Drosophila melanogaster: one gene and its partner. The protein of the gene in region 1 interacts with the protein of each later gene in a pairwise test. Each region holds a gene or a part of one and is shown on either strand. Other genes may lie near its edges.

Region 1 (5,006 bases):
GCGATGAGGCTTTGAGTGAGCTGCTCGATGAGGGAGAAAACTCGGAGGAGAAGGCCAAGCAGAAGCTGGAGGATCAGGAGCTGGATGAGGGACCACCGCCCTCCGTGTGGGATCTCTTCTGCTACCCCAATCTCCGGCGCAAGACGCTGCTTATCTTCCTGGACTGGCTGGTGACCAGCGGCGTGTATTATGGTCTCTCATGGAACACCAGCAACCTGGGTGGCAATGTGCTGCTGAACTTCGTCATCTCGGGAGCCGTGGAGATCCCGGCCTATATATTCCTGCTGCTGACCTTGAACCGCTGGGGCCGGCGATCGATCCTGTGTGGCTGCCTGGTGATGGCCGGTCTCAGTCTCCTGGCCACGGTCATCATTCCGCAGCGAATGCACACCCTCATAGTCGCGTGCGCCATGCTTGGCAAGCTGGCCATCACGGCGTCGTATGGAACCGTTTACATATTCTCCGCCGAGCAGTTCCCAACCGTGGTTAGAAATGTGGCCCTGGGCGCCGCCTCTATGGTGGCCCGGATCAGTGGCATGATGGCACCGTTCCTCAACTTCTTGGCCACCATCTGGAAGCCACTGCCGTTGCTCATCTGCGGATCCCTGACCTTGGTAGCCGGATTGCTCTCCCTCCTGCTGCCGGAGACGCACAATAAGCCCATGCTGGAGACCATCGCGGATGGCGAGCGCTTTGGCAAGAAGACCAAGGCAGATGTCTACCTGGAAACGGGCCAAGAACTGAGAGCACCAGAGGCGCAGCCACTCAAGGGATCAGGCGAGACAAATGGATCAACCATAGCCAATGGCCACAAGTAATAGTTAGACGCTGGTGTTGAACTTTAAAGTTTCAAGAAATTACAGACAGGGCATCTAGAATTCGGTCACGCCAAAGGCAGGGCATTTACCTTTAAAACATAGACCAAGTATTATATACAAATTTTGAAATCTCACACGTAACCAAAAAAAAAAAAAGACCATGCAAAAAAAATTAAGATTGAAAAGCAATGGGTAGCAACAAATAGATCATAACTCTTTTAGCATTTAGCCGGGCAGTGAGGAGCGGTCTTATAAAGAGGGTTACGAATTCCGAAGATTAGGGGAGGTTTTTCCCAGGAAAATCAGCTGGAAAATATACCGTGTTGCAGCATAATTTATTTCTATACCTATTTAACTTTAGATGATTTTGAAATAAACGTACTTTTCCAGAGATTAAATAACTTTACCCCTCCTCCTCGTTGACCCCTCGTAAACCCGGACAGAATGTCTGGCCATTCCATTAGGATTTTTGAAACGTGTTTCCGCTGTGTTTATTTTCGTAGTCGCCTCTTATCAGCCCCAAAAACACGAGACTCTCATTTGAAATGTGGACCCGTACTATAAATCACGAGATTAACAAGTGATTTGTTATACTACTTAGTTATAACAATCATTTTTGGCTGCAGAAAGAACTCATATGCCTTGGAATGCGAATCATAATCGTACGATTCTTGGGCTCTTGGGCATAATGTTGCATTATTCACATCTCGCGAGCACTTTGACCTTGATCTTTTCCTACGTGGCTGCTCGAAAAGTGTGTCGTCTATTTGTAGTGCACCATTTACCAAGTGAACTGCCACATGTTCTCTGCACTTTTCAATTAATATTTAAACAAACCAGCCGATGTTTCAGATAAGAAACGGAAGTATACGTTTTTTTTTTAAAGAGAAATCGGTCTGAATGAAAGAGCAATTTTTGGAAGAGTATGTTAGTTAGTATTATCTATAAGCAGAAGGCAAACGTACATATATGGGGAGCTCATATATAATACTTATCAACATACAGTCGTGGTCGCAATATTGGGATATGTATACTTCGCCAGTTAAATTATTCAAATCGAATTCAAATATTTTCAAAATGTACAGCATTTATTCATATTAATTTTCATTTATTAGTTTAAAATGAGATAAACTCAGATACGCTGAAATTTGGAATCGAACCACAATCGGTGGACACTTTCTTTGGTCAGAAGATGTTCCTGCGGGCTCTAATTGACATCATACGATGTCCAAATCAGTGCGGCAGCTGCCACTTCTCCGCCTGCCCGGCACCCCGATTTCATCCCCATTCTGATATGGGAAGTTATTGATTCTATTTAGAGTTTCCTAATGCGGATCGCTGATCAATAGATTGGCTACGGGGTTGAACGCTCTACACACCACACACACACTGGTAGATAGATAGGCGCGTACCGCTCACACAGACACAGCCAGATAGGCGGACGTTCTGTTCTGGGTTCGTACGAACCCTCGATGCTCTTTGTGTTTTCAGTCTGAGACTGAGGCAGCTGGCGAGCGGTTGATCGCGCGCTCCAAAATCCGAGATTCGCTGGACAGAGATTCACTGCGGTACTGGAGAGTGCTGCTGCAGCAACTGCTGGTGCTGGTGCTGGTGCAACTTGGTTCCGTTTTTCAACCAGATTGTTGCACAATCGAACGGGTTCATCGGGCGTATACGCAACCAGACGCGTTAATATATTGCGCATACGTCACGGTGCCGCGACCATTGAACCGCTGCTAGTCAGTTATCGTACGACACTCGACGGTTGACAACGCCGAATCTCAGGTGTTACACCTGGCACTGCTCCACCAATGGGCTACGACGACGTCATCACCCACCTGGGTGAATTCGGTCCGTATCAGAAGCGCATCTACTACCTTCTCTGCCTGCCGGCTATAGTCTGCGCCTTCCACAAGCTGGCCGGAGTGTTCCTGCTGGCCAAACCCGACTTCCGATGTGCCCTGCCATACGAAAATGGCAGTATCTATGAACTATCACCCCACCTGTGGAACCTATCGTATCCGGAGAATGAAAGGTGCTCCTACTACGATGTGGATTACACGGAGGAGTACCTGAATGGCAGCATTCCACGGAGCAGCAACGAAACCAAGACCTGTTCCAGCTACGTTTACGATCGGAGCAAGTATCTCAATAGTGCGGTGACCGAGTGGAACCTGGTCTGCAGTCGAAGCCTGCTAAGTGCCACCAGTGATTCGTTATTCATGCTGGGCGTGCTCCTGGGCAGCTTAATCTTTGGCCAGATGTCCGACAAGCTGGGACGCAAGCCCACCTTCTTCGCCTCACTGGTGCTTCAGCTAATCTTCGGCGTTTTGGCTGCCGTGGCACCCGAATACTTTAGCTACACGATTTCCCGTATGATTGTGGGCGCCACCACTTCGGGAGTCTTCCTGGTTGCCTATGTCATCGCCCTGGAGATGGTGGGCTCCTCGTATCGCCTCTTTGCCGGCGTGGCCATGCAGATGTTCTTCTCCGTGGGCTTTATGCTCACGGCCGGCTTTGCCTACTTCATCCACGACTGGCGTTGGCTGCAGATTGCTATAACCTTGCCGGGACTGCTCTTCCTTTGCTACTACTGGATCATTCCGGAGTCTGCCCGTTGGCTCTTGATGAAGGGTCGCAAGGATGAGGCCTTTGTGATCATCGAGAAGGCGGCCAAGGAGAACAAGGTGGAGGTGCCCAATGAAATCTACGAGCAGCTGGTGGACGAGGTGGCCGAAAAGAAGAAGCAGGACGAGATGGCCGCCTCCCAACCAGCGGCCACTGTGTTCGATCTCCTGCGCTATCCGAATCTTCGACGGAAAACCCTGCTCATCTTCTTCGATTGGTTTGTGAACAGTGGCGTTTACTACGGCCTGTCGTGGAACACCAACAATCTGGGTGGAAACCAATTGGTTAACTTTATGATCTCTGGTGCCGTGGAAATTCCCGGCTATACGCTGCTCCTCTTCACTTTGAACCGTTGGGGTCGTCGCTCCATCCTGTGCGGTACCATGATGGTGGCCGGAATTAGTCTGCTGGCCACCATCTTCGTGCCGAGCGACATGAATTGGCTGATCGTTGCCTGCGCCATGATAGGAAAGCTGGCTATTACCTCGTCGTATGGAACCATCTACATATTCTCAGCGGAACAGTTCCCGACTGTGGTGCGGAATGTGGGTCTGGGAGCCTCCTCCATGGTGGCTCGCGTGGGTGGCATTCTGGCACCCTACCTAAAACTGCTGGGCGAGATCTGGCGACCGCTGCCGCTGATCATCTGCGGAGCACTGTCTCTCACCGCTGGCCTGCTGTCCCTGCTCTTGCCGGAGACCCTTAACAAACCCATGCCGGAGACCATCGAGGATGGGGAGAACTTCGGCAAGAAGCCGGCGCCGCAAGAAACCGCCGAGGAGGGTGGCACCCAGGAGCTGTCCGGAATGCTGAACGGAAAGTCCGGCTAATTGGAGCCGGAATTGCGAGACGACGAGCAGTTAATCACTCAATCTACACTGATGGCCTCAATTGGTCATTTCAACGAATTTAAGCATTCAGCGCACTTCCATTTCTCCAGCGATGTATATTGTACAATTCATTCCATTTTCTCAGCTCTATTTGTTTAATTTTAAAAGCGATTTAATAAAAGTCACGCATATTTAAATCGTATTTGCACACAAGTCGCCGTCTGTTCAACGAACTTTGTGACAACTTTGTTTTTATTGAGCCGGTTCACCGTCGGTGAGACGATAATATAAATTTGCTCATTAAAAGAATTAGGTCTAAATGGTCGGCTGATAAGAGAACGCTATAATCTCATTGAGTGCAATCTCCTAATGCACTTGCCCGCCAGAGGAACATTCAAATTTTTTACTCATTAATGGCGCTAATAAAGTTGCGTTCACATATCAGTGGTTGTGAGTGATAAAACTGATTACTGTCAACGCTGTCCATTGATAAGAAAATCAAATCAAATCCACAAAACTCACATGTTCCCAACCTTAAGTATGTTCAATTTAACGGACTGATCAAGTTTATCTGATTTATGGTTCAACGACCTTATATTGATATTGTATATGGAAATGGGATATTCCAATATTTATGAGCCATGTGATAATTTTATACCCCTAAAACTTTGAAATAAAGAACATTTCATAAATGTTATATTACTTGACTAATTCAAAGATAAAAAGTTTT
Region 2 (5,471 bases), on another chromosome or scaffold:
GAATGTGGACCTGGACATGTTCTACTACAAGGACATCACCGCCCTGCGACAGAAGTTTCCTCAACTGAAGATTCTCCTCAGCGTGGGTGGAGATCGCGATGTGGATGAGGCCCACCCCAATAAATATGTAGAGCTTCTGGAGGCGAATCGCACGGCTCAGCAGAATTTTATAGACAGCAGCATGATTTTGCTTAAGCGAAATGGATTCGATGGCCTTGATCTCGCGTTCCAGTTACCCCGTAATAAGCCCAGAAAAGTCCATGGATCCCTTGGATCTTACTGGAAGTCGTTCAAGAAGCTTTTCACTGGTGACTTCGTTGTGGACCCGCAGGCGGAGGAGCACAAGTCACAATTCACCGATCTCGTTGGAAATATAAAGAATGCCTTTCGATCTGCTAATCTGATGCTGTCTCTGACAGTCCTGCCCAATGTGAACTCCACTTGTAAGTATATATCCTATTTTTACATATAGTAGGAACTATTTTATTAACCACCTAATCAATCATTTCGTTAGGGTACTTCGATGTCCCCAAACTGCATCCCCAGTTCGACTATATAAACCTGGCGGCCTTCGACTTTCTCACCCCACTACGAAATCCCGAGGAGGCGGACTTCACAGCTCCGATTTTCTTCCAGGACGAACAGAATCGCTTGCCCCATTTGAATGTGGAGTTCCAGATTAACTATTGGCTGCAGAATCATTGTCCTGGCCAAAAATTGAACCTGGGAATAGCCAGTTATGGCAGAGCATGGAAATTATCGAAGGGATCTGGACTCAGTGGTGCTCCCATTGTTCATGAGACATGTGGAGTTGCACCCGGCGGAATACAAATCCAGAGTGCTGAGGGCTTACTAAGTTGGCCAGAGATTTGCTCGAAGTTGTCGCAGAACGCATCCGCTCAATATAGAGGAGAATTGGCGCCGCTCCGCAAGGTCACGGATCTCACCCAGAAATACGGAAATTACGCTCTCCGGCCAGCAGATGATAATGGAGATTTTGGCGTATGGCTGAGCTTCGATGATCCGGATTTTGCTGGAATAAAGGCAGTATATGCCAAGGGCAAAGGACTCGGCGGAATTGCCCTTTTCGATTTAAGTTACGATGACTTCCGTGGACTTTGCACTGGCCAAAAGTACCCCATACTGCGGTCAATTAAGTACTTTATGGGATAAATGATTTGTTTGTTAAGCCTAACAAAGCCATATATTTTAAGTTTTCTAATAAATGTTTCATTTGAATTACAAATATTGAAGCGCATGTTTGCGGTTGAACACATTATTTAATAATCGGTCTCAGTGAGAAAAAACCTTTTTGGCAAAAATACAAATCATTGGTTTGTAATTTACTAAAAACCCACAATAATATATTCAAACACATACGAGTTGCAAAACAAAACTGAATTCTATAGTGCGTGTGATAAACTAAATCATGTGGTATAGACGGGTATTTCCACCGCTTTTAGTTCTATATATGTACACTTACGAAACCAATCAGAAACACTGTTTTCGAATTCTAATCAGCAAGCGCGTTTCAATGTTTTCAGATTATTTGCTTGTTTTTTTTTTTTTAATTTTAGAGGTCACAACGTTTTGACCCTGCGTCTGCCTCGTCGCAATCGTCGTCATTAATTTCTGTGTACACAATTAAGTCATTGCGAGAATAAGTAAGGCAATGAGCTCGGCTTCAGATCGGCTTTCAGACCCCTCTTAAAGCTCCGCTCAAGCTTTTTGTCATCGGCTTGGGGCTGGGGTTTTGGTTTCGGTTTCGTTTTCCATTTCGATTTCAGTCTCAGTTCGATTTCATTTGATCTGCTCTGCGGTTGTGCCTATAGAGATATATCCCTGGCACCATGAAGGCGTGGATCTGGTTTACGTTTGTCGCGTGCCTCTTTGCGGCAAGTACAGAAGCTGCCTCCAACTTAGTCTGCTACTATGACTCTTCGAGTTACACCAGGGAAGGTGAGTGAGGTGGTCGGAATACTCCAGAAAGTGAATATGACAGACAAATAATATATACATAGCTTTAGAAAACTTAGATCACAGATCGATGAGGTTTTAACTTGTTGTAAAATATTCTATCTAGCAATCAAACACAGAAAAAGTTACAACGTAAAAACAATTTAGTTGTTCAAACTGGTTCCATTTAGCACTAGAGTATTATAAGTATTACTCACTAAAATGTTGTTGATCTGTTTTAAATTCTTTTAATGAATGAAAACTGACCAACTTAGGTTTTATGAATATACACACTTGATTGTCATCCAAAATGCCTTTTGAAAAGCTTTGAAAAACAGTAATTCTGGTAAAACCTTATTAACCAACTAAGCCACGTTTGAACTGAACGACACATTTAGTAAATGAACTAAAATATGAGGAATGGGAGTAAAATTGAAAGTATTAATCATTTATTCAAAGTTATCCAAAAAGCCTACCAAAATACCGCCTGTCTTTTGAGTAGCGTGTGCCAAATTTACAGACGAATGAAAACAAAAGCATCCTAATCGAGTTACATAACCATTTCTGATTCAAAACAAAACTCGGACTTAATTTAATTCAACTTGCAGTGCTTATCGCCTGGCGAGCGAAACAGAGAGATAAAGAGAGCCAAAGCTAGTTTTATAGAGGTCAGTGGCTTATCTGGCCAGTTTATTTCTTTTTCAAAAATAAAACACAGAGACTGGCTCTCCCGCAGAGTTTCGCTCGCAAAGCGATAAAAAGCAGAAGTTCTGATCGGATTAACAAGCTAATTTGAGCGGGTGTAACTTACCAAACAAAAATAATGGAATGAATTCTCAAAATATGGCAATTAGTTGATTATTTTGGTATAGGGCGAGTTAAGTCTATATTATTGAGCCGATCCCACGCATTCGAAATGAAAAACCAGAGCGTTCAACACACAGCGAGTCCAGCACGACAACTGCCCCGCCAGCGGACGCTGACTTGGCACCAGCGATCCGAGCAAGTGGCAAGCAGAGCACCAAGTGACTCAGCAGCGCTGCACAGTGTCCTTAGGATAGGGGAAAAATGAGATAAATATCGTCCAATAGATGCATTCGATAGGTAAATAAATAAAATTAATAATTAATTAAATAAATTTAAATTTGTAAAAATTTTTAAAACAGGTAGAAGTTAAAATGACTGAAGTTGATTTGTTAGCAGCTCAAATGTATGTTCAGAAATATGTTTAGGTACAAACCGAAAAGTTCATTTATAAATTCTGCTTTCAAATAACGTTTAATTAAATATTCTTATATAAATGCAAATGATTATATTTTACATTAAGCTCTTAACACAACTCAACCCACTGTGCTCTGCAGCCGAGCCAAACAATAATAAACCGCTCGCTGGGCTCACACTGTTGGCGTTCAATTAAGCCACTGAAGTCGACGAGACAATGGATCAGCATCCGAGAGGAGGTGGCTCTGGTCAGGGGGAGATACACCGATCTCCGATCTCCGCTCTCCGGTAGTTTTCACCGAGAGCGAGAGTGTTGGGTGTCGGATCACTGTGCGCAGATAGTGTCCCACAGCAATGACCACTTCGAGTCTCTGGGATTATTTGTTATTCGAGTGCAGCTCGTTGTACTTTTCGTGCATACTAAATATGCCATCTTTTGAATTTAAACTGTGTTTTTTCCAGGTCTGGGCAAGCTGCTCAATCCCGATCTGGAGATCGCCTTGCAATTCTGCAGCCACTTGGTCTACGGCTATGCTGGGCTGAGAGGTGAAAACCTACAGGCGTACAGTATGAACGAGAACCTGGACATATACAAGCATCAGTTCTCCGAGGTTACCTCCCTCAAGAGGAAGTATCCCCACCTGAAAGTTTTGTTGAGTGTGGGCGGCGATCATGACATCGACCCTGATCATCCCAACAAGTATATCGATCTGCTGGAGGGCGAGAAGGTTCGTCAAATTGGTTTCATCCGATCGGCCTATGACTTGGTTAAGACCTACGGCTTTGATGGCTTGGATCTGGCCTATCAGTTCCCAAAGAATAAGCCAAGAAAGGTTCACGGTGATCTTGGACTGGCATGGAAGAGTATTAAGAAGCTGTTCACCGGCGATTTCATAGTGGATCCACACGCAGCCCTTCATAAGGAGCAGTTTACCGCTTTAGTAAGGGATGTAAAGGACTCCTTGAGAGCTGATGGATTTCTGCTCAGTCTGACTGTGCTGCCCAATGTAAACTCAACATGTAGGTATTTCAAAATAATAACAATATGTAATTATACTTTAGTTTAATTATGACTTTAGGGTACTTTGATATTCCCGCTCTGAATGGCCTGGTGGACTTTGTGAACCTGGCTACCTTCGATTTCCTGACACCAGCCCGTAATCCCGAGGAGGCGGACTACAGTGCTCCCATCTACCATCCCGATGGATCGAAGGATAGGTTGGCACACCTTAACGCTGATTTCCAGGTGGAGTACTGGCTATCTCAGGGATTCCCATCCAATAAGATCAATTTGGGAGTTGCCACCTATGGTAATGCATGGAAACTTACCAAGGACTCGGGTCTCGAAGGAGTTCCTGTTGTGCCGGAGACAAGTGGACCAGCACCCGAGGGCTTCCAGTCCCAAAAGCCTGGATTACTAAGCTATGCTGAAATCTGCGGAAAGTTGTCCAATCCCCAAAATCAATTCCTCAAGGGCAACGAATCGCCACTGCGAAGAGTTTCTGATCCCACCAAGAGATTCGGAGGCATAGCTTATCGCCCAGTGGATGGTCAGATAACCGAGGGCATTTGGGTGAGCTACGATGATCCCGACTCCGCCTCCAATAAGGCAGCCTATGCCCGTGTCAAGAACCTAGGGGGCGTGGCGCTGTTCGATCTGAGCTACGATGATTTCCGTGGACAGTGCTCAGGCGATAAGTATCCCATTCTGCGAGCCATCAAATATCGTCTATAAAACGAAACATAACATTTAATACTTTAAATAAACAATTATCAATTATAAACAAAACCTATGACATTTGTTTTGTGTAATCTCTATAAAAGTTTAAGCTCTGCCGAGTTCATGGATTTCATTTTATATCAAAATATTTTTTAGGAGCTCGTATATACATTTTATTTATCTGGCACTTATTCGCTATGTACCCATTTTCATTAAGCATTTAAAAGCTAAATATTTACACATTTTTGGGCATGAGTAATGAACAGTAGCGACCTTGCTAATTCGTCAACACCTTATAAAGTGCAGACTTATCACTATGCCCGTGGAATTAGCCTATTTAAACTATGAGTCGATGGACATAATCTCGAGAAAGACGTATAATCTGTTCTGTAAATTACCGAGCTGAGAGGTGATCTCATTGAACCCGATCTCAGTTGGCACTTGAGACAAACGAATTGGTTGAATTTCGTTGATAATAATACCCACAAAACTGCGTTTGCTATTGTTCGTCTGGGGTTTTCGTTTCACTACGGGGAAACGCGAGGAGGTGATTCCACTGAAAAGCTCCACTGTG

Evidence for each region.
Region 2: the proteins of Orct (region 1) and Idgf2 interact in a two-hybrid assay, tested with the Drosophila melanogaster proteins (one large-scale study listed by BioGRID).

What each region holds. Positions count from the first base shown.
Region 1 is NT_033777.3:24,274,316-24,279,321, forward strand, and holds Orct (organic cation transporter), read left to right. Parts: upstream 1-1,944; 5' UTR 1,945-2,629; coding exon 2,630-4,276; 3' UTR 4,277-4,477; downstream 4,478-5,006. Other genes in the region: Orct2 (organic cation transporter 2), read left to right, coding at 1-818. UniProt on the Drosophila melanogaster protein: Probably transports organic cations.
Region 2 is NT_033779.5:16,445,547-16,451,017, forward strand, and holds Idgf2 (imaginal disc growth factor 2), read left to right. Parts: upstream 1-1,783; 5' UTR 1,784-1,850; coding exon 1,851-1,959; intron 1,960-2,767; exon of another isoform or gene 2,768-2,923; intron 2,924-3,283; exon of another isoform or gene 3,284-3,639; coding exon 3,640-4,197; intron 4,198-4,256; coding exon 4,257-4,912; 3' UTR 4,913-4,962; downstream 4,963-5,471. Other genes in the region: Idgf1 (imaginal disc growth factor 1), read left to right, coding at 1-443, 515-1,173. UniProt on the Drosophila melanogaster protein: Cooperates with insulin-like peptides to stimulate the proliferation, polarization and motility of imaginal disk cells.